Kluyveromyces lactis: one gene and its partners. The protein of the gene in region 4 purifies or fractionates together with the protein of the main gene of each other region. This does not show direct contact. Links are inferred from orthologs where the notes say so. Each region holds a gene or a part of one and is shown on either strand. Other genes may lie near its edges.

Evidence for each region.
Region 1: the proteins of SEC26 (region 4) and SEC28 purify together in Saccharomyces cerevisiae (affinity purification with mass spectrometry; 5 studies listed by BioGRID). This does not show direct contact. The link is inferred for Kluyveromyces lactis from reciprocal best matches to the Saccharomyces cerevisiae genes SEC26 and SEC28.
Region 2: the proteins of SEC26 (region 4) and RET2 purify together in Saccharomyces cerevisiae (affinity purification with mass spectrometry; 5 studies listed by BioGRID). This does not show direct contact. The link is inferred for Kluyveromyces lactis from reciprocal best matches to the Saccharomyces cerevisiae genes SEC26 and RET2.
Region 3: the proteins of SEC26 (region 4) and GLO3 purify together in Saccharomyces cerevisiae (affinity purification with mass spectrometry; 4 studies listed by BioGRID). This does not show direct contact. The link is inferred for Kluyveromyces lactis from reciprocal best matches to the Saccharomyces cerevisiae genes SEC26 and GLO3.
Region 5: the proteins of SEC26 (region 4) and SEC21 purify together in Saccharomyces cerevisiae (affinity purification with mass spectrometry; 4 studies listed by BioGRID). This does not show direct contact. The link is inferred for Kluyveromyces lactis from reciprocal best matches to the Saccharomyces cerevisiae genes SEC26 and SEC21.
Region 6: the proteins of SEC26 (region 4) and COP1 purify together in Saccharomyces cerevisiae (affinity purification with mass spectrometry; 8 studies listed by BioGRID). This does not show direct contact. The link is inferred for Kluyveromyces lactis from reciprocal best matches to the Saccharomyces cerevisiae genes SEC26 and COP1.

Annotation. Positions count from the first base shown.
Region 1 is NC_006039.1:798,514-801,213, forward strand, and holds SEC28 (coatomer subunit epsilon), read left to right. Parts: upstream 1-1,306; coding exon 1,307-2,188; downstream 2,189-2,700. Other genes in the region: ARE2 (sterol acyltransferase), read right to left, coding at 1-696; GET complex subunit GET2, read left to right, coding at 2,499-2,700. UniProt on the Saccharomyces cerevisiae protein: The coatomer is a cytosolic protein complex that binds to dilysine motifs and reversibly associates with Golgi non-clathrin-coated vesicles, which further mediate biosynthetic protein transport from the ER, via the Golgi up to the trans Golgi network.
Region 2 is NC_006040.1:975,764-979,424, reverse strand, and holds RET2 (coatomer subunit delta), read left to right. Parts: upstream 1-1,406; coding exon 1,407-3,017; downstream 3,018-3,661. Other genes in the region: ZIP2 (Zip2p), read left to right, coding at 1-1,103; proteasome regulatory particle lid subunit RPN12, read left to right, coding at 3,422-3,661. UniProt on the Saccharomyces cerevisiae protein: The coatomer is a cytosolic protein complex that binds to dilysine motifs and reversibly associates with Golgi non-clathrin-coated vesicles, which further mediate biosynthetic protein transport from the ER, via the Golgi up to the trans Golgi network.
Region 3 is NC_006041.1:616,742-620,295, reverse strand, and holds GLO3 (ADP-ribosylation factor GTPase-activating protein), read right to left. Parts: upstream 2,166-3,554; coding exon 618-2,165; downstream 1-617. Other genes in the region: MRX3 (Mrx3p), read right to left, coding at 2,844-3,554. UniProt on the Saccharomyces cerevisiae protein: GTPase-activating protein for the ADP ribosylation factor (ARF) family. Involved in retrograde vesicular transport from the Golgi to the endoplasmic reticulum.
Region 4 is NC_006039.1:1,329,109-1,333,541, reverse strand, and holds the start of SEC26 (coatomer subunit beta), read left to right. Parts: upstream 1-1,614; coding exon 1,615-4,433. Other genes in the region: KLLA0_C15301g (uncharacterized protein), read left to right, coding at 1-1,359. UniProt on the Saccharomyces cerevisiae protein: The coatomer is a cytosolic protein complex that binds to dilysine motifs and reversibly associates with Golgi non-clathrin-coated vesicles, which further mediate biosynthetic protein transport from the ER, via the Golgi up to the trans Golgi network.
Region 5 is NC_006041.1:1,173,288-1,177,414, forward strand, and holds SEC21 (coatomer subunit gamma), read left to right. Parts: upstream 1-1,219; coding exon 1,220-4,054; downstream 4,055-4,127. Other genes in the region: CCR4-NOT core subunit CAF40, read left to right, coding at 1-934. UniProt on the Saccharomyces cerevisiae protein: The coatomer is a cytosolic protein complex that binds to dilysine motifs and reversibly associates with Golgi non-clathrin-coated vesicles, which further mediate biosynthetic protein transport from the ER, via the Golgi up to the trans Golgi network.
Region 6 is NC_006042.1:478,762-483,127, reverse strand, and holds the start of COP1 (coatomer subunit alpha), read left to right. Parts: upstream 1-1,445; coding exon 1,446-4,366. Other genes in the region: CRR1 (putative glycosylase), read left to right, coding at 1-945. UniProt on the Saccharomyces cerevisiae protein: The coatomer is a cytosolic protein complex that binds to dilysine motifs and reversibly associates with Golgi non-clathrin-coated vesicles, which further mediate biosynthetic protein transport from the ER, via the Golgi up to the trans Golgi network.

The DNA of each region.
Region 1 (2,700 bases), about 530 kb from region 4:
TGCAAAATAACTAGTCAGGTACATTGCGATATCATATAACGCAACTTTCCAAAGATTCATGGTCATGTATCGCAAGATAATTGACTGTGAAAAATCACCATGTTCCTCGTAATATTGTAATGTCACTTTGCAGATGGTGAACGCAACTGCCATCCAAAATAAGACATAGAATCCAGAAAAGTCTGTTGCTATAGTTTCATTTGCAATTTCAATAGTATTATTGTCATCTATCCTCACCGTATTTGATCTGGCTGTTGCCTTTACTCTAGAATATTTCTCGTCTATTGCTGGCCCATTGAAATGAGATCTAAGCGGATTGTTGACCATCTCATCCATGATACTACCTCTAGAGCCCCAGTCTACATCTCGTGTCATGGACTGCATTTCATTCGTATCCTTCTTATATCTGTTCTTTTCCTTCACCTTCAATTTCTGCATGAAAACATGCAGATGTTTGTCGCCTTGTTCGGAGGTGGTTCTAGTCTTAAAGATAACCGTGTCGTTAGGCTGGACCGTGTTGAAAAGAACGTCCGGAGATCCAAGTTCATCGAGAACAGCATCCTCCAACTGTTCCTCATGCAAAGACTTCCTCTTCCCATGGTTGTTGTCGTTCAGCCTTCTTATCCTCAAGAACTGCTCATCCTCAGTTATATCCTTAACGGTGGTATCATGTGAACTGTCACTTGAACCGGACATTATGACAGGTTTTTAATTAAAGATCCAGTTAAATAAATCTTTTATGATATATTAACGTGGATTGACTCTTCACCATGAAATTAGTCTGAGATAAATCTAGGCCAAGTCGTGATTCGTCTTAAGAAGGAAAAAATTCTTGCTAACCTCTCTCTCTCACTCAGACGTTTTAAATATAAATCTCAAATCCGGAATTAACCAATGGTCGTAAGAAGTGTACTGTTAATTACTGAATCTGTTTCCTTTTCCAACCCGTATCGTTTAAACGTCCAAAGTAACTGGCTCTGAATTTCTTCTGATAAATACTCTCAATCCCTTAAATAAACGCCATATGGTGATCCACACCTTCGAGAATTATTCGAGAAAGGAAAAATACAAAAAAAAAGATCACGTGAATGAAAAACATCCATTACCCTGATCCTGTCAGTTTTTCAGTTTTGGACAATTCGCATGGTGGATCAAAGTAAGATAGCATATGGACTCTCAATATTAAAGGATACGTGTGAGATAGACCCGTTAATGAGCCAGTAAAGTCGCTTTCAATACACGATAACGGTTAATTGAAGTTTTCCGACGTCAGATTTGTTGAGAAAAAAATATCAACTCAGAAGAAATGGACTATTTTACTGTAAAACAGCAGTTTTATACTGGTAACTATGAAGAAGCGTTGAACGAAGTTTCTAAGTTTAACAAAACTGAAGATGAGGCGTTGACTTACTACAGAAATAGATCATTGATTGCATTGTCCCAGTTCAGTGAGGGTAGTGCTGATTCTGGCTCACTTGGGCCTGTATTTGAGGCTTACTATAAATTTTTAAGCAAACCTACAGGCTCAATCACTGCACTAGAACAAACCGTTGAAAAGGCGGGCAGATCTCCATTTGCATTGAACTTATTAGCAAGTGCATTGACTATAAAGGGCGAGTTTAAAACTGCTTTGGAGGTTGCCGTTGAAGGAATTGACTCCGATGAAACAAGAGGAACCCCGGAACTACTGTTAACGGCCATCCAAATAACTTTGTTGGATAATCAACCAACCATTGCCTCGACTATGTTTGAAAATTTCCAAGCACTTCAGGAGCAATCGAACGACGATGAAATAATTTTGAATCTTGCAGAGTCATACATCAACTTCAACCAGGGTAAAGAGATCACTGGATCCAATTTCTATTTCTTTGAAGAGTTGTCTCAAACTTTCCCAAGTTGGAAGACTCAATTAGGCCTATTGAATTTACACCTCCAACAATCGCATTTGCCTGAATCCAAAGCAATCATCGACCTCTTAGAAAGCGAGTTCTACGATATCAAACAAGAAGCACAAACGTACAAGCCTGATCTACTTGCAAATAAGATTACGTACACCATCTTATCTGGTGGAAATGCAAACGAATTGAGATCGGAATTGCAACAATTGAAACCATCTCACCCACTATGTGTTGCCGACCTTGAAAATAACAAGACTTTCGATCAAATTGTGGCAAAGTACACAGCCTAAATCTATATATATCAAATAGATCTTGAGTAGCAAATAGTATTGGTATTGGCGATACTTTCCGGGTAACATTGTTCTTTTTCCCATCAATTTCGTGGGAACTGTCAAGATAAAGCGGATTGATCAAACATCCTATACAATGTGAAGGGTTAGTTTTGAAACCAGTCACTCGGTATCGTTTTACAAGGCACCTGCGTTGTATTTAGTTCGAATATTCAGGGGAGTTGATCTTCTTATTTTGATTGTCGATCTAATTCTACTTTAGTTTCCCCCGAATTGAGCTGTAATTCACACAGAATTTGGAGTTTACAAGATGGCTACTGAATTGTCTGATGCTGAGAAACGTAAATTGTTGAGGGAAAGAAGGCAACAGAAGTTTTCCAACGGAGGTGCTTCCAGCAGGTTGAACAAGATCACTGGTCAACAGCAGAATAGCTTTTTGTCTTCAACATCTGTTCTTGATGAGCCAAAAGTTACTCCGTCAGGTAACAAGAAATCATCCAATGTGAGTGACG
Region 2 (3,661 bases), on a different chromosome or scaffold from region 4:
CATTCAAAGAGTTAAACTTGCCAAAAAACTCGGAACTACTTGAATCATTAAGAGATGTACAAGTTAGATGTACGTCCTATGCGCTTGTCTTCAAAAGAATTCCAAGTTCCAAAATTGATTTGATGGTATCCAAAATTCCCGTTAGCTTCAGGAGTGTAAATGCTATCAGTTATGATCAGTTCGATCCAAAATCTAAAGAGAATGTCCAAGAGTCTAGTCAGTGTATTGATTCTCTTGCAAATGAGGAAACTACTGACGTCGATGAAGTGACAAACAAAAGGATAATGACAAGTGGGAAACGCTCTTTCATAAACGCAGATTTAGTAAGCATAATAGCAGCCAAACGGTCCAAATTGAAGAGACTCTCCATATCTAATGGTGATGTTAACCCAGTTGCTACTCTGAACGAGACAGTTGAGCAATCTACAATGTCCAATGTCACTTTCCAATTAAGCGATAAAAGTTTCCATAATGCTGAAGAGAAAGTAATCATTTTTAATGCAGAGTATATTGCCAAAAACTACAAGTTGATCAATTTCTTACATCAGAACAACTTTTGTGTGCTTGAGATGGATTTGGGGGATCATTCGGATATCTTGTTAGACGCATCTACCTGTCTCATTCTTCGAAATATTACTTCAGTGTATCAGAAACAGGTCGACAGCTTCCCGTTACTCCGAGCAATACAAGAATTGAAGTGTAAATATAAAAGAGTGGTAATCTTCTTATCGTACTCAGAACGATCGTTAGCGTTAGATTCCAACTTAGCTTACAAGACCCAACTTTTATTAAACTGTCTCGGTGGGACAACAACTCATCTAGTTGAGGAAACACAACTCAAATTAACAGCAACGTGGATTTCATTATATTGTGGTACCAATACGCCCAATGAACAGCAAATTTATCGCATGAGCCTTAGCAAAGAGGTCTTACAACATTTCGACATCAATCCAATCGCAATTGAAAGTATTCTGTCACTCACCTCATTAGAAGAATTCTTATCAATAAGTTATGGAAAAAGAGCCCTACTATATGGCAAATTTCTCACAGAATACCAACTAGCTCATATTGATGATTTTGTGACAATGAGTTGGTCAGAGTAAATTCATTCTCATACGTCGGCTCGAATGAACCTTACCCATCCAAGCTAAACTCACGATCTATTTCAACCAGTCATATTGAACGAACTCTTCTAGTATTGGTTTCCTGATTTTGATGAACCTTTTTTTTCCCTTCGAAAATGGAACTGAACCAAAACATATCAAAATAGAAAACTTGAAAATAGTTAAAAATGTACGAACCTGGCAAAGCTGTATCATTCCGAAAGCATAATAGTCTCGTTAAAGTTTTGATTCAGGCACCAGGAAACCTGTGACGTGATACATTGAGAACAGGGCTTGATAATCATGGTTGTACTAGCGGTTTCTATCACTACTCGTAAGGGTAAGCCTTTATTGTCTAGACAATTCAGAGATATCACGAAAGATCGTGTTATGGAATTGTTGTCGAATTTCCAGACTTTAGTTGCCAATTCCTCAAAGCAGCACACTTTTGTTGAAGATGAACATGTCAGATATGTTTACAAGCCATTTGATGATTACTATATTATTTTGATTACGAATCTTCATTCCAATATAATCCAGGATATGGACACGTTGAACATTTTTGTGCAAACGGTTGATTCTACTCTGAAGGGTCTAAGTGAGGAAGATGTTTTCGATAGTGCGTTCGATATCTTGAACTCATTCGATGAAATCATTACTATGGGCTACAAGGAGAATCTATCTTTAACTCAGATTAAGACCTTCTTAGCAATGGAATCTCATGAGGAAAGAATACAGGAAATTATTGAACGTAATAAGGAATTCGAAGCAGCGGAAGAAAGAAAGCGTAGGGCAAAAGAGATTTCGAGAAAGGAACAAGCAAGAAAATTGGGTATTCCGGACACTCAGGAATTCACCGGTATCCATGGTGGTGTTATGAACAAGGCGTATGACAGTTACTACAGCCATGCTTCATCCGCGGCTCAACAGTCACACATGCACACGCAATCTAATCAAGGTATTCAACAACAGAATTTAGCACCACAGCAACAACAGCAACAGCAGTATGCAAACCGTGAGCCTTTGGGTGGTAAAGGTTTGCAAGTCAATGGGCCAAGAAGAGGCGTTGAAAGACCGATCAAGAACGTGGAAAGACAATCATTATCAGTTCAAACAGCAACTCTGCCTGAAGAAGAAAAGCCTATCAACAATGGTATTTTAATTAGCGTAAAAGAAACTATTAACGCTGAAATTTCCCGTGATGGTGCTATCATGGGCTCAGAGTTAAAGGGTGTGTTAGAATTACGTGTTAATAACCCTGATCTTGCACATGCCAAACTATGTCTCGGTACAGACGTCAATGTCAAGGACAAAACGTATCAATTCAAAACCCATCCAAATGTGGACAAGGCTGGTTTCTTAACTAACAAAACGATCGGGCTAAGAGATCCTAACAAACCATTCCCATCCAATGATCAAAGTTTGGGTGTGCTAAGATGGCGTAAGGTTAAGGGTGCTGATGAACATGATTTGATCCCATTAGAAATTTCAACATGGTTGTCTCCATCTTCAGAAACGGATAATGCCATTGATGTTACTTTTGAATATGAAGTCAACAGTGATTACGAAGGAACTATCGATGAATTACGCTTCTTGATTCCTGTCTTCACCGATACTGTATTCATCAAAGATGATCTAAACGAGGCTAATGCAATCGTAGAGGCCATTGACGAGTCCCAAGGTATTATCATTAAGGTGGACCCAATTGAATCCGGTCAGTCAAGCGTATTCAGTGTTACTGTCCAAGCTGCTTATGAAGATGCGTTATTCCCTATCGAAGTTGCTTTAAAGAACAGCAATGCCAAACCATTGTCTAACCTAAATATTGCTTCTGTTGTATCTGCCGCAGATGACACTGAACTACCATTCGACACCGTATCTACCTTGAAGAGTGAACAATATGTCGTAGTGTAATTGCACTTTGCAGTATTAAACAGCAGCATGTGTCTCTAGCAGAAAATACTGCTACTATATAAGTAATCCTATACATGTTTGTGTATTTTTAAGAAGTAATGTACAGTGAACTCCACCAAAAGTAATAAAAAAAGCCGAAAACTGAAGAAAAAATGGTAATCTGATCCGTATGCAATTGATTAGATATGGCCTGTTAATACCTATTGCAATACGATCGGCGCATCTTGTGTCCTATCTTACCCATTGCCTGCTTTCATTTGTTCAAAGTTCCTATAAATCTACTACTATGTAATGAGAAATTCAAGATTCAGTGAAATTGAAAATATCAACATTAACTTAACTCAGACCTTGCATGAATATGTTTTGCCACCGAAATAAAGGGACAGAGATAGACAGCAACCAAGATGCCATCGTTACCAGAGCTAACCAAGGGGTTGAAGACTGCCTTTGAGGGCAAACAATATGAAACATGTTTGAGATTACTACTTCCTATCAAGATTGAATTGATTAAAGCAAAATTGTTAATACCTGATATCAAAAGCGCTAAGGAAAATCAAAGCTATCTACAGGATCTGAATATAGCAAAGAAGATACTTGAGATAGGAGCACTTTCAAGCATATACTGTGAGGATTTTGAAACTTTC
Region 3 (3,554 bases), on a different chromosome or scaffold from region 4:
AGCAGGACTTTCATTTACTCCTTTCTTCACCTCTTTCTTCTCGAACTGTACACGAGATATACCTCCGACATGACAAGATTTGTTTATGGCCCATGACTACGCGTTAATATCTTACTTCGAATCGACCTTAATCTTCTTGTCTTTCAAGAACATATCATTCTTTAAATCAACTTTCTAAATGCTACTTAATCAATAATTGTCATGATCACTGGATTGCATAATCCTTATTTCGCTACTCAAGCTACTAAATAATCATTAAATAATACGTAAAGCACAATAGACACTTGGTATTCCTTGGAAAATGTAGGTGTGTTGAAAAATCTCAAACTCTGACTACACACTGGGTGTTTGGAATGATCCTATATTTATTATTATCCAAATAATGGCGGTATTCATATTATGGTACAACGAAGAGATGTGTGACTGAAAAGGGTATCCTATTAAGGACAAGCTTTCATCTATTTGTTTATTTGTTTCTATTACAATAAAGCCATAAAGTTTTGTTCAGATTTTTTTTCATAGAAGGGAACTTATGGGGAACTTATGGCACTGATACTATTAACGTTAACTCCTTGATGAATGACTATACTTTATCTTACAATAAACTAACATAGGAATTAATTTCTCATGTAATCTCTTAGGTAGTTTCCTAGCTTTTGCGCTCCTTGTTCAACAGCGTTCTTCAACAGGTCAAATTCGTCATCAGCACCAGACGTGAACTCCATGAAGTTTCGTCCGCCAAGAGAACCGCTTCTGTTTGTTCTTGTTCCATTTTGTGGATTCAATGGTCTTCCAAATTCGTCGAACTGATCTTCGCTCTGGCCTTCGCCAAAGTATGAGGCTGAAGAAATAGATGTGGCATTACTGAAGTTCTGTCTGAGTTTTTCTTGAGCTTCTTTACTTGCCTCGTCATCGTAGCTTCCACGAGAAAACACCTGGTCTGAAGAGATACCCTTTTGTTCTCCGAATTTTTGGGCAATCTTACCTGTGTACTTTGGACCAGAGGCAGCCCTCCTTGATTCGTTAGTTTTGTTTTGTTCCTTTTCTGCATTATTGGAAGTCATACCAAACCCAAGTTTAGCCAACTTTGGTTTTGCCGCATCTTTGCTTCCAGTTAATCCTACATTGGAAGCATTGATTTGATCGAAAGTAATACCATCATTGTATCTGTTGGACCATTCGTCGTCCTCCGCGTCTTCGACATTGGTAGATGGCTTGGTTATTTTGCTGCTAGAGCTGAAACCAGATTTTTGTTGGAATGGCGCAGGAGTGGCATCGTATATGGAATTCGATAAATTATTGGAGTTAAGGGAAGTGGTGGCGAGACTTGAGGCCAATTCTTCCTCTTCCTTGGCTTCTTTTTCGAATTGATCAAACAAATCAGCATCCACCTTCTTGGCTGCAACCGGTTTCTTTGACTTACGAGAGGAGGAAAGGATGGAATGTTTCTTTGCTTGAGAAGAGCCTGCTGATCCTGTCAAAGTAGTTCTCTTAGTTGTAGTGGATCTAGCACCGTTGCTGGTTTTGTTGGCAGAACCACTTCCGGACAGAATAGAAGAACCATTCCTATTGCCAGTATTGGTTGGTGTTAAATTTCTAGGAGATGACGTCAAAGATATGTTACTTTGGTTTACAGGCTTTTCCCAGTTTGAGAAGAAATCATCAACGCTGTTGCTCTTTGAAGAACCAGAACTGCCCCCTGTGAATTCTTGTTCATCTTCTGCTGAAAATACAATTTCACCTGGATGTTGTTCAGCGTCTCTAGCCACTTTTTGATTCAAATGGCTCTGCCATTTCTTGGCTACCTGGCTTGTATATTTAGCCATCCGGTTGCTAGAAGAACCCAAATATTGTTTGCCGTTGTTCTTTAAGAAAAAATCCTTTGCCTTATCGTTACCACCAAGTTTGAACCTTCTCAAATTGTTGACAGTCCATTTGTCCAAATTACTTGACTTCACAAAAGTAATATGGGTACCCATATTTCTGTGCTCACCGGAACAATCGATGCAAAGAAGAACACCGAACGGAACTGAAGTCCAGGTAGGATTTTTGGCGCCACAGTCGAAGCATGCCCTGTTTTCAGACTTGGTTGTCAGTCTAGCAAACACTTTAGTCACGACTTCCTTGTCACAGTACACTTCTCCCGATTCGTCAATGCTAGCCATGGTTTAATTAAAATAAATCCTCTTGTAATGATAATGAAATGCTGAAATTCCGGAAAAAAAAACACCCTTGTGTTAAGTTAATAAGTTGATGCTAAGATACGGCAATAAAGATTCACGTTCCTGTAGCAGATTATCCTGGTAAATTCAGATCGTATCTCAAAAGCTAGATCAATCGCAAGAAAAAACTCTTAAGTATCAATTTTAGAAAACAGAGTACTTAATAACACGCTTTCTTACCACCTTAATAATAACTTGCGAAAAATACTTCTGTAAGTTCGGCGTGTCCCTCCCGCGCTCAAAGTGTGTACAGTAGTCTGTTGCACCTGTTATGATGTTACCAGCAGTGTAAAAAACTTAACTAAGACCAAAAACTACGTTCCTTAACGGTCCAAAATTTGAATAACCGTTCTGTCCTGTGTTAAAACCTTTTCTGTTTAGAAATTCGATCTTTCAATTTAAAGATGTCAAAGAAAATAGCAGATATGAATAGTCTGTATTATTATTACCCGGACCAAACAATACAATAGTGGGAATGGGATGATGAATTAACTGGTATTCATCATGTCCGAGCACCAGTACAATGCTAGCATATGGTATACTTAATATTGAATGTTGTAGTATGTGAACTAAATATAATATTATTGGCATATATAACGGAGACCTTAAGGTGGTATTAGATCAGAATATGTTAATCCATGAAACGTATTTAAACCATTTAGGTTCCACCAAAATACACGTTGCAGTAGCGTAGACGGTCGGTTTAGGGTTGTATATCCAATTGGGTACGCTCTTAGCCACTAAGGACTTTACGGATCCCAGTTTCGTAGAAGGATCAAGAGGTGGTGATTCCAACGTTCCTGTAATGATACATTTTCTTCCCTTGGTTTCAATGACCTGGGCGTTGAGCACAATGGTGGAATTAACTGGAACATCCTTCTGGAACGATATGTCTAGAGATGCAGTGACTCCACGCTTACTGGGAAGTGTAGGGAACCCGCAGAAACACAAAGCCTCGTCTAATAGCAATGAAAGTACACCTTTATGCACTGCATTCTTTTCGTTGCCTAAATTGTGGCCCAAATGATATATGACGTGGATCTTGTTCTGTGCATTATCTGTAAACACCACCGGATCAATTTCAAGCTTAGTTGGTCCGTAAAGCAACCCTTGACCTACGTGATAATCTCTATGAGGTACAGGGATCTTCTCCGATTGACGATGCATCATATAATCAGACGACTCTTTAAGTTTCTTGACCCATTCTGTGGCCCTAAGTTTATCCAATACATCGGTCCGTTGGTCCTGTAGCGGTCTATGTAACGTTTGTAGTGCTGATTCATCCAAATGCCATGGCTTAACGAAATATCCGAAGCCCAATGTGAACCCCGT
Region 4 (4,433 bases):
GAACCGTCCATGGATGAAATGTTTTCCTTCAACGAGTCCATTAACAAAAAGAATGCGATTACCGATCTCCAACAAAGCACTGCCGCCTCATCTTTAAGTGATGTAGGAGGCATTCCAACATCCTCGCGATTTGTCGTTACAAACGCCGACCAAACCTCTGGCTCTGAATCCGAAGAAAATTATGCGGATCTGCACGAATACGAAGCGGGTTATGATCAAATGCCAGAGCCAGAACAAGAGCATGGAAGTACAGATGAAGATGATTTATATCAAATGATAGGTGGATCAGAGTACGAAAGAAGGAATTTCAGAGTAGTTAACGAAGAAAAACCAAACTTTTATTTCAATGACAGCACGAGTGAAGATGATAATTCTTACATGAATACAGATACCAATTCCATAACCGCATCGCTGGCAAGACGCAGTTCTTTATCTTCATCTAAAAAAGGTGCAGCATCTTCGTTATTAAGTAATACTGAATCTCGTCAATCTTCAGCACTGGAAGCAAAGTCCATTGATAACGACACCATCAACACGACTCCGTCATCAGAATTCAAGAAAAGTTTGACCAAGGGATCGATTCCAGATAAAAATGTTCGACTCATCTCAAGCTACATAGAAGAGCTACGGCTCTTGTACTTCCCCACGTCAAATTCCTTACAGTTGCCTCCAGATCTACCTTATGCTTTGAAGAACAAGAATACTCTTGAACAACCACAAAATATCAAAGTTACAATACGAACAAGTACTAGACAAGTCGGTATAAAGCACGGCAAGGCCAAACAGAAGCTATTATCACTTGAAACTACAAAAGAAGAGGAAGAAGAAGAGGAAAATAACAGTACTACAGGCCTCAAATTCAATACCGAGTCCACAAAAGTTGATCATACTAAGGAATTTCATACTTTGTTCAACAAGGATGAAAAAATTTCCGAGGCAGACCAAGATATTCTTGATGATATTCCTGGTGATGAGGCATACGATAGCGATGATTTAATGGCACCGTTGCGTGAGAACCCAAAACAAAGAATTCATGACGAAGTTTCCCAAACGCGCTTGAAAAGATCAGATACTGTATCCAGCTATTTCACGAGAAATGCTGGTAGAATGAGAAGCGGTACTCTAGACGTAACGTACAGTCCACAGCTACCACTAGATCTACGGAAATATAACCTGATTGAAGAATCTCAAAAGCCATGTACTCCTGCAGTACATGAAAAAGGTGACACTAATCCCAAATCTCATAAATCTAGCATTTCGAATGCTGACGATGATTACGAGCTTGACGTAGCAGATTTCGGTTACTACCGCGGTACCGCTGGAACAGGATTGCATATAACCAACCCAGATTCAGAATAAACTATCATTCAAACAATATTACTGCTGCATCTATATCTTGATCTATACGTATCTTGTACCAATGTATATATTAACGTTTCTAATACCCGGTCAAATTCATTGTTACCCGTACTTTGTTTTATGTTGATTTTCAGGACGAAAATGAGATTCTGAAATAAAGAACATGCTGTTTTGGAACAGTTCTGTTATGAAATAACATATGCGAGAACCAGGAAGTTAAAAGAAGCTACACAAGACACACAGGTCAATTGAGGTATGACAGTCGGCGTCGAACAACCTGCGTATACGTTAGTGTACGACCCCAATCCAAATGGGGTCACATATACCGTATCAGACTTCCAAAAGGCATTGGAAAAGGGGTCTGATACTGAAAAGATCGCGACCATGAAGAGGATCTTGGTGACCATGTTAGATGGTAATCCATTACCAGATTTGTTGATGCACATCATCAGATTTGTGATGCCTTCAAAGAACAAGCAATTGAAGAAGCTTTTATACTTTTACTGGGAAATTGTTCCAAAATTAGATCGTGAAGGTAAATTGAAGCAAGAAATGATTCTTGTCTGCAACGCTATCCAACATGATTTGCAACATCCAAACGAATACATCAGGGGCAATACCTTAAGATTCTTGACGAAATTGAAAGAAGCAGAACTTTTAGAGCAAATGGTTCCTTCTGTCCGTGCTTGTTTGGAATACAGACACGCATACGTTCGTAAGTATGCAATCTTAGCAGTTCTTTCCATTTACAAAGTCAGCGACCATTTGATTCCTGATGCTTGTGAAGTGATTGATTCCTTTTTGGTTGCAGAAACTGATCCAATTTGTAAGAGAAATGCTTTCCTAGGTCTTGCAGAATTGGACCGTGAAGCTGCGTTGAACTACCTACAGGACAACCTAACTTCGATTGAAAATTTGGATGCTTTGCTACAAAACGCCTTCATTAGTTTCATTAGAAAGGATGCTATCAAAACTCCAGGATTGGTCTCTCAGTATGTTGAATTGTTGCAAGATCTTTTAGTTTCTACTCGTTCTACGGATGTCATGTACGAAGCTGCCATTACTTTAACTGTTCTAACCAATAAAGAAGCTATTTTATTGACCGTAGCTAACAAGCTAATTGATTTGGCCACAAAAGAATCTGATAACAACATCAAGTTGGTTGTTTTAGAAAAAATCAACGAAATAAACGAGAAGAATCCAGGCTCTTTAGAGGATCTAACATTGGATATTCTACGTGTTTTGAACGCACAAGATTTGGATGTCCGTGCTAAGGCTTTGGATATCTCCTTAGAATTGATTACGTCCAGAAACGTAGACAGTGTAGTTAAGTTATTGAGGAAAGAATTACAATCTACTGCTGATAGCAGTAACGATAAAACTCTGGAGTACAGGCAATTATTGATCAAATCCATTAACAAAGTGGCAATAAGATTTATTGAAGTCTCCTCCAATGTTGTCTCATTGCTTCTAGATTTTATCGGTAACTTGTCGTCTGAAAGTGCCAATGATGTCATTTCCTTTACAAAACAGGTCATTGAAAGGTATCCTGAGTTAAGATCTGAGATTTTAACTACTTTGATTGAGACATTGCATGAAGTAAAGTCAGCAAAGGCTTACCGTGGTGCTCTTTGGGTACTAGGTGAGCATGCCCAATCCGAAGCAGAAATCCAGAATACCTGGAAGCACATCCGTTCAAGTATAGGTGAAGTTCCAATTGTTCAATCTGAACTGAGAAGAGTTCAAAATGATGACGAAGACGATACTGAAAAGGCCCCAATAGTATCCACAGGGCCGGTAGTTTTGCCAGATGGTACTTATGCAACCGAATCTGCTCTATCTGTCTCAGAAAAGGTCAAATCCACCTCAAACGAGGAAAAAGAAGCAAGACCTCCTTTACGTCGTTTCGTCCTAAATGGAGATTTCTTTACTGCCTCTGTGTTGGCTAACTCTATCGTTAAATTGGTGTTGAAATTCGAAAAGATTTCCAAGAACACTTCTGTAACTAACGCCCTAAAGGCCGAAGGGTTGTTGATTTTGGTTAGTATCATCAGATTAGGTCAAAGTAACTTAGTAGAAAAGAAGATTGACGAGGACTCTGCTGAAAGACTAATGACGGCAATTTCGGTATTGATGGACGAGATTTCTACCGAAGAAAGTCAAGCAGAGAAAGAACTTTTGAGTTTGGCATTCTTGGAAGCTACCAACGAATCATACAAATCAAGAGTCAATGTTACTTTGAAGAAGAATGCTGCCAAGAGATCAAACTACCTAGCCAAGCACGCCGAGGCCATCGATAAATCCATCGTTTTCAGACAATTTAAGAATGCAGGCTTGCACAATACCCCCGTCGATTCAATCGAAGAAGATATAAAATTGGCTACCACCGGTACTGTATCATATTCCAAACTACAAGCTAATTCTATCACTTCAAAATTGAAGAAGATCGTCCCATTGACTGGTTTCAGCGATCCTGTTTATGCCGAGTGTTATATCACTAATCACCAATTCGATGTTGTGTTAGATGTTCTATTAGTGAACCAAACCAAGGATACTTTGAAAAACCTACATGTTCAATTCGCTACTCTTGGTGACTTAAAAATTATTGACCACCCACCTAGCACCAACGTTATTCCACATGGGTTCCACAAAATTACGATAACAGCAAAGGTGTCCTCAGCAGATACTGGTGTTATTTTCGGTAACATTATATATGATGGTGGTCACGGTCAAGATTCTCGTTATGTCATCTTGAATGACGTTCATATCGACACAATGGATTATGTGAAACCAGCAATCTGCGATGATAACAGTTTCCGTAAGATGTGGAATGCGTTTGAATGGGAAAATAAACTTCGTATCAAATCCAAATTACCATCTTTACGCGGTTATTTAGAGAAGTTGGTGGAAGTTACACATATGAAGGTTCTAACCCCTGAAGAGGCACTCGGCGACAATGATTCCAGATTCCTAAGTTGTAACTTATATTCTAGATCTACATTTGGCGAGGACGCTTTGGCTAACCTGTGCATAGAGAAGGATCCAATCACACAAGAAATTGTTGGTGAAATCCG
Region 5 (4,127 bases), on a different chromosome or scaffold from region 4:
AGTAGAAAACAACCAACTTCCAGGTCAGATGCCTGGGATGGGCCAAGGGCCAACTGCAGGACCAAGTTCAGTTCCTGGGCCAGGTCCCACACCAGCAGGAATAACACATGCGCTAGATGATCCAAATGTCTACCATTGGATATGCCAGCTCACTTACGGGCCAAGCAAAGAACAAGCGCTTCTAGAACTAGGTAAGAAACGTGAACAGTATGAGGATTTGGCTATCGTGCTGTGGTCCAGTTTCGGTGTGATGACGTCGTTGCTAAAGGAAATAATTTCAATTTATCCGCTTCTTTCACCTCCTGCATTATCAAACCAGTTATCAAACCGCGTATGCAACGCTTTGGTGCTCTTACAATGTGTCGCATCACACCCAGATATCAGGCCTCAATTCTTACAGGCTCACATCCCGTTGTTCCTTTTCCCATTCTTATCTACGACATCAAACCAAAGAACTTTTGAATATTTAAGGCTAACTTCACTAGGTGTCATCGGTGCTCTAGTGAAAAACGATTCTGCAGAAGTGATCAGTTTCCTTCTAAGGACAGATATTATCCCATTATGTTTAAGAATCATGGAAAACTCTTCAGAACTTTCGAAGATCGTCGCTATCTTCATCTTACAGAAAATATTATTAGACGATAACGGACTCCAGTTCGTATGCGCGACCCCAGAACGGTTCTACGCGGTGTCACAAGTTTTGGCAACTATGTTTAAGCACATGTCCCAACAACAGGTGCCGGGAAGATTATTGAAACATGTTGTAAGATGCTACCTAAGATTATCGGATAATTTAGAAGCCAGAAGATTGTTGAAACAAGTTTTGCCGCAACAACTAAGAGATAACACCTTCAATGAAGCACTACAGGACGATGTAGGTACCAAGAGATGTCTTGCACAACTACTCCTGACTCTAGATGAACAGCAGCAGTGATCTTGCCTGCTATATCATATATATCTCCATATCCATATATATATATATATATACATATATATCATAATTAAAAAACAAGTGTTACCCTCACTTTCACACACCCGCTTCACTTTTTTTTTCATTCCAAAGGACTTCTACCGATTTGCAAACTGAAAACATTATGAATATAAATATATACCATACCACACGGCAAAAAGAATTGGATAAAACACGAGGTTAATAGGCTCAAAATTGGCTACTAAAGGTTAGTACGTCATTTGAAGGTATCCTAGCACTGCCAATTGCATGTCTGCACAAACTTATAAGAAGTCTGAGGACCCACACAGTGGGTCCTTGCCAGACAAAATGGCGATCTATCAGGATTGTTTGAATCGGTTCAATGAATCTCCTGTGAATCCTAAACTGTGCCGTACCCTGATCACAAGCTTGTTGGAACTATTGTCGCATGGTGAGACTTTCCCTAGACAAGAAGCTACTGCTTTATTCTTTTCCATTTCGAAATTGTTCCAACACCCTAACGATTCTTTGAGACAAATCGTTTACGTGGCTATTAAGGAATTGTGTGGAATCTCCGATGATATCTTGATGGCTACTTCTTCAATTATGAAAGATGTTCAAAATGGTTCAGATCTAGTGAAGCCTAATGCTATTAGAGCATTGATCCGTGTCTTGGATGAGTCCACTGCATTTTCTGCAGAAAGATTATTGAAAAATTCGTTGGTTAGCAAACATCCATCTATTTGTTCTGCTTCTTTGGTCAGTTCATACCATTTATTACCAATCGCTGAAACTACGGTGAAGAGATTTGCTAATGAGACTCAGGAAGCCGTTGGTGATTTGAAACAGTTGCCATATCCAGATGAGAACAGTAGATATTATCCAACTACGTCTCATATCTCTCAATACCATGCATTGGGTTTGTTGTACCAATTGAAGAATCACGATAAGATGGCTTTGATCAAATTGATCCAACAGTTTGCCGGTCATTCTTCACCATTGAAAAATCAATTGGCTCAAGTACAAATGGTTAAATTCGTGCACCAATTGGTTTTGAAGGATCCTAACTCCATCCCCCAGTTCTTACCACTAATAGCTAATTGGTTGCAAAGCAGACACGAGGCTGTTGCTTTGGAAGCTTGTAAGCTTACTGCGTCTCTATCCAACTTGGTTCCTAACGATTTGTTTGCAGCAGCGGTTTCTGTCTTGCAAGGATTCTTGTCCACTCCTCGTGTGACAACCAGATTTGCTGCAGTGCGTTTGTTGAACAAGATTTCTATGGTTTCACCAGAGAAAATTGTGGTATGTAATCCACAATTGGAATCTCTTGTTAACGATAGCAACAGAAACATTTCCACTTACACAATCACTACCTTGTTGAAGACTGGTACCGACAAGAACATTGGTTCTTTGATTAAGACAATTACCAAGTTCATCCACGAGGTGAATGACGATTTCAAGATCATCATTATTGATGCTATTAGAACTCTTTCTCTAAATTTCCCTGAGGAATGTGATACAATATTACATTTCTTGATGGAATCCTTACAATCTGCCGAAGGCAGTCTTCAATTCAAAAATAGTGTCGTGGAAGCATTAATTGATTTAATTCAATTCGTCCCACAATCTAAGGAAAAAGCTTTAGAAGAATTATGTGATTTCATCGAAGATTGTGAATATAATGAAATATTGGTTAGAATCTTACATCTATTGGGTAAGGAGGGTCCAACCACTAAGAACCCGTCATTATACGTGAGACACATTTACAATAGAGTTATTCTAGAGAATTCTATCATCAGATCTGCTGCTGTGTTGTCTCTTTCCAAATTTGCACTTGTTAAGAATGACCCTGAGTTAGTAGAAAGTATTGAACAGCTATTGACTCAAATCAAGACTGATTCAGATGATGAAGTTAGAGATAGAGCATCCATTGCTTTGCAATTCATCGATTCGGTTAAGTCCAAGAAAGATGTTTCCAATATCGCACAAAATTTCATTCGCCCAACTTCTACCTATGACGTTGTTGCTCTTGAATCAAAACTATCACACTATTTGTCACAAGGCCAAGAGGCATTCAAGACTCCATTTGACGTCTCGTCAGTTGCCAAATACTCCGAAGACGAGAAGAAGGCATTGGATTTGAAACGCAGACAAGAGCAAGCCTTCAACCATACAGAAGAATCTTCCAACAGTGGTGCCGGAAATGGTAACGGTACTGAAAAGGGTGGTAGAAAGGGTGATAGATTGGATGACAATAGCTTCAATGGACCTTCATTGGAATCTGAAGAAGAAGATTTGCTATTGTCCAAATACGTGGATGAAATGTCCTCCTTGGAACAATTCCAGTCCTTTGGCAAGTGTATCCATTCTTCCAAGATTGTCCCATTAACGGAAATTGAAGCTGAATTCGTTGTGAAGGGTATCAAGCATTTGTTTGACGAGCACGTTGTATTACAATTCCATATCACTAACACATTGAAGGACGTTGCGCTTGATAACGTTGAAGTGGTATGCCAACAAGAAGGATTATCAGAGGGTTTACTTGACGAACAAGAGGAATTTGTTTTGCCTATTGAAAGACTCTTACCCAATGAAGGAGAGTCATGTTACGTATCGTTCAAGAAACTAACACAGAACAAGGATGATATCATTGTAGAAAGATTCAGCAACTCGTTGAAATTCCAATCCAAGGAATTAGACCCATCTACCTCTTTGCCATTCGAAGATGACGAAGGGTTCCAAGATGAATACGAATTTGATTCATTGTTCTTGAGTCCCGGTGACTACATGAAACCATCATTCGTAAGCAATTTTGCCACCTCTTTGGAAGAACTACCTTATGAATCCGTCTCTGTCTACAACATTGTCGAAACTAACACACTACAAGAAGTCATCGACAAGTTAGTCATTAGCGCTGGTGGTTTACCTTTGGAAAACTCACAAATAGTATCCCACGATGCCACCCAACATACTCTAAAACTTTCAGGAAAATGTATCTTAGACAACACTAAAGCCCTGCTTTCCATCAAGATGATCAAGACAAGTAAGGGTATTGCAATTAAGGCTCTAGTGAAATCCGACAAGGAATCGTTGGCAGAAGACTTATCAAACAACTTGATATAATATATGTACATTTGAAAACAAAAAAAAAACCTATATATATATATATCTATCTAAGATAGCAACATAAGTATTT
Region 6 (4,366 bases), on a different chromosome or scaffold from region 4:
TCTTTTCTATACGGTAGAGCTACCGTAAAAATGAAAACAGCTAGAGGTCGCGGAGTTGTTACTGCAGTGGTATTAATTTCAACTGTAGGTGATGAAATTGATTTTGAATTTATTGGAGGAGAATTACATCATGCTCAATCTAATTATTATCACCAAGGTGAATTAAATCACACAAGGATGGAAAAGCTAGAACTAAGTTCTGACAGTTTTGAAAATACTCATATTTACGAAGTCGATTGGGACCAAGATAGAATCAACTGGATTGTGGACGGTGTAGTAGCTAGAACATTATACAAGGAAGATACATGGAATGAGGAAAAACAAAGATACGAATATCCACAAACACCAATGAGATTGCAAGTGTCGGTGTGGCCAGGTGGAAGAGAAGATGCTGACCCTGGTACCATAATGTGGGCTGGAGGGCTCATTGATTGGGAAAACTCGCCCGATATACTTGAGAAGGGTCAATTTTATGCAACTGTGGAATCAATAGCCGTTACACCTTACGAAAACAAATTCTGGCCATCAATAGTTGATGAACTAGAAAGATTACATTTACCTATTGATGCTAATTCATTGTTAGATATTACTTACGATTACAATTATGACAAGTTTAATGAGCATACGTGGTTTGAAGATTCAGTCATTTGGAAGAAGGGCAAATTACCTTATTTATCTTCCTTGGACAAGAATGGCCTAAATCCGGGAAGACAGCAACAAAGTCTTTTGGTAGGTAAACAATTGAAGCAAGAGCAGGGAGATGGGCCGGATCAGAGTCCTTCAAACAGGTTTATTCAAGACACTAATAAACCATCGGAAAAAAATCATGAAGAACAAGATTTGCTCCTACGAAACGCTCTGCAGTCACGCGATGCTACCACAAATGGGGGTTCCAGTCACAATAACAGAAATCCTATCAAAAGATTGCTTAATATGCTACATTAATCAGTAAAGGTTGCCCAGATGTTCACATCTACACTATACATGTATAGATATATAGACCTATGTATACCACTCTCGTATATGCTATCTCTTCTAGCATTCTCTTACGCATAGAATCTGTAGAGATGCGTCTGGCACAAATTCGGGTAATTATTACCCTACCATTACGTCCTTTGCATACTCTTCGGATTCTTCCAATTTTCAAAAAGGACAACTTTTCAAATAAAACACGATCTTATTTCAAAATAGTAAGCCATATGTGTATTTTAAGTAATTTTATGAACCTTGAATGAAGCTGACTTTGGCTAATAAACAACGATCAAGGTACTTTGTCGTCTAATTGAGTTGTCAGTGAGGACTAACCATCGAAGGAAAGCTTCAATCGTAACCAATTGGTATATTGTTAACTGCAATTGTGACGTTTTCTTCCGAGTTATTCTTCTTATATTTCTCACAGTTTTTACTCAGATTTAGATCGAAGTCTTGAAAAGCTTGCTTTCATCATGAAGATGTTAACTAAGTTCGAATCAAAGTCTACCAGGGCGAAAGGTATTGCTTTTCATCCGTCTAGGCCTTGGGTTCTGGTAGCACTTTTCTCATCAACCATCCAATTATGGGATTACCGTATGGGTGTTTTGCTTCACCGTTTTGAAGATCATGAGGGTCCGGTACGTGGCATTGATTTCCATCCAACGCAACCTCTTTTCGTTTCTGCAGGTGATGATTATACTATCAAAGTATGGTCTTTAGAGAGCAACAAGTGTCTATTCACATTGGACGGCCATTTAGACTATGTTCGTACAGTATTCTTCCATCACGAATTGCCATGGATTATTTCCAGTTCCGACGATCAAACCATCAGAATCTGGAACTGGCAGAACAGAAAGGAAATAGCATGTTTAACTGGCCATAACCACTTCGTAATGTGTGCCCAATTCCATCCAGTCGAAGATTTGGTGGTTTCTGCTTCTTTGGATGAAACCGTTAGAGTTTGGGATATTTCAGGGCTAAGAAAAAGACATTCCGCACCAGGCACTCAATCATTCGAAGAACAAATGAGACAGCAACAGAACTTACTTGACGGAGGATTTGGAGATTGTGTGGTGAAGTTCATTTTAGAAGGCCACACTAGAGGAGTAAATTGGGCTTCTTTCCATCCAACTTTACCATTGATCGTTTCCGGTTCTGATGATCGTCAAGTGAAATTGTGGAGAATGAGTGCCACAAAGGCATGGGAGGTCGATACTTGTAGAGGTCATACCAACAACGTTGATTCCGTCATTTTCCATCCTCAACAGAATCTCATTATATCAGTTGGTGAGGATAAAACCGTAAGAGTATGGGACTTGGACAAGCGTACTCCAATTAAACAGTTCAAAAGAGAAAATGACAGATTCTGGTTAGTGAGAGCTCACCCAAACCTAAATCTGTTCGGTGCTGCTCATGATTCTGGTATTATGATCTTTAAGTTGGACCGTGAAAGACCACCAACTGCTATAAACCAAAATCAGTTGTTCTTTATCAACAGGGAGAAACAAGTCCAAATGTTTGATTACCACAAGAGAATCACTTCTCTACCTTATCTTTCTTTGAAAAACATCGGCAAGACCTGGAGTTCATTTAGAAGTATGTCTTATAACCCATCCCAACATTCCGTCCTTGTCAACTCCTCCGAAAAGGAAGCCAACAGGTTCAGCTTATGTGTCTTACCTAAACAACCTAGTGGAGCTGTTGAAGCTAGCAACGTCATCTCTGATGATGGTAGTTTTGCGATCTTCGTTGCTCGTAACAGATTTGTGGTGCACAATGGCAGCACTAATAGCTTGGAGGTTCGTAGTTTAGATAACAAAACCACAAAGTCAATCAAATTAACTGATACTGTTAAAGACATCACATTAGCTGCTCCTGGTACTGTTTTGATTCTATATTCTCATTCTGTGGTAATGATGGACGTCCAACAAGGTAAAATTCTTCATGAATTATCTTTAAAGAACATCAAGTATACAGTGTGGTCTCAAGATGGCCAATATGTTGCATTGATGAGTAAGCATACATTGACAATCGCAAACAGAAAACTGGAAATCGTTACATCAAACCATGAAAGTATTAGAATCAAGAGTGCAAGTTGGGATGAAACCGGTGTCCTAATTTATTCAACATTGAACCATATCAAATACTGTCTATTGAATGGTGATTCTGGTATCATTAAAACCTTAGAAAGAACATTATACATCAACAAGGTACATGGCAAATTTGTCTATGCTTTGAATCGTGAAGGGGAAGTAGAGATTTTGACAATTGATCCTACTGAATATCGTTTCAAGAAGACTTTAGTCAACAAAAATTTCCCTGAGGTATTGCGTATCATTAAAAATTCAAATTTAGTTGGTCAAAACATCATATCTTATCTTCAAAAATCAGGCTATCCTGAAATTGCGTTACAATTCGTGGAGGATCCTCAAACAAGATTTGATTTGGCTACACAATACGGTAATTTGACAGTTGCTCTTGAAGAAGCTGAGAAATTGAACAATGAACTTGTATGGGAAAGATTGGGCAAAGAAGCTTTGATCCAAGGTAACACAGATATCGCTGAATTGGTATATCAAAACACTAAGCAGTTTGATAAACTGTCTTTCCTATATCTACTTAAGGGAGACAACTCCAAACTGGCAAAAATGGAGTCTATTGCTGAACATAGATCAGATATTTCCGGCTTGATTCAAAATACCTTTTACAATAACTCAGTTCAGAAGCGTGCAAATGTCTTTTTAAATGCAGGCTCTGCTCCTTTGGCTTATGCAGTGGCAAAAGCTAACGGCGACGATGACCTTGCCACTTCCATTTTGGAATCCGAAGAAATTGATGAGCAAGACATTTCCCTACCAACTGAACTCAACTCCTCCACAAATGTAAAAACCCCTGTCATTTCTGCTCCTTTGAAAAACTGGCCGTTAAAGCAAGCTGAAGTCTCATTCTTTGAAAAAGCCCTTTTGGGCCAAATCGAAGATCTTGAAATTTCTGATGATAAGGAAGAAAATGTTTCAGATACTACCCAAAATGTTGGCCAGTTTGATTTAGGAGAACAAGATAACCTAGACTTTGATGATGAAGCTGTTGGAGAGGAAGAAGATGCTTGGGACCTAGACCAAAATGATTTGGAATTAGACGACGAGTTAGAGATCGAAGAATCCGAAGTGACTGAAGAACAAGTAGATGAATCAGAATTGCCAATGTGGGTTAAAAATTCAAAGCTTCCAGCAGTTCTAGTAGCCGCTGGAGCCTTTGATGCTGCTGCCCAAGCCTTGAATAAGCAGGTAGCCGTTGTAAACTTCGAACCCCTCAGGACACCATTCATTGATATATACGATGGTGCAAGAACTTATATGAGTGCTACACCAAATGAATTACCTTCAATTATTGG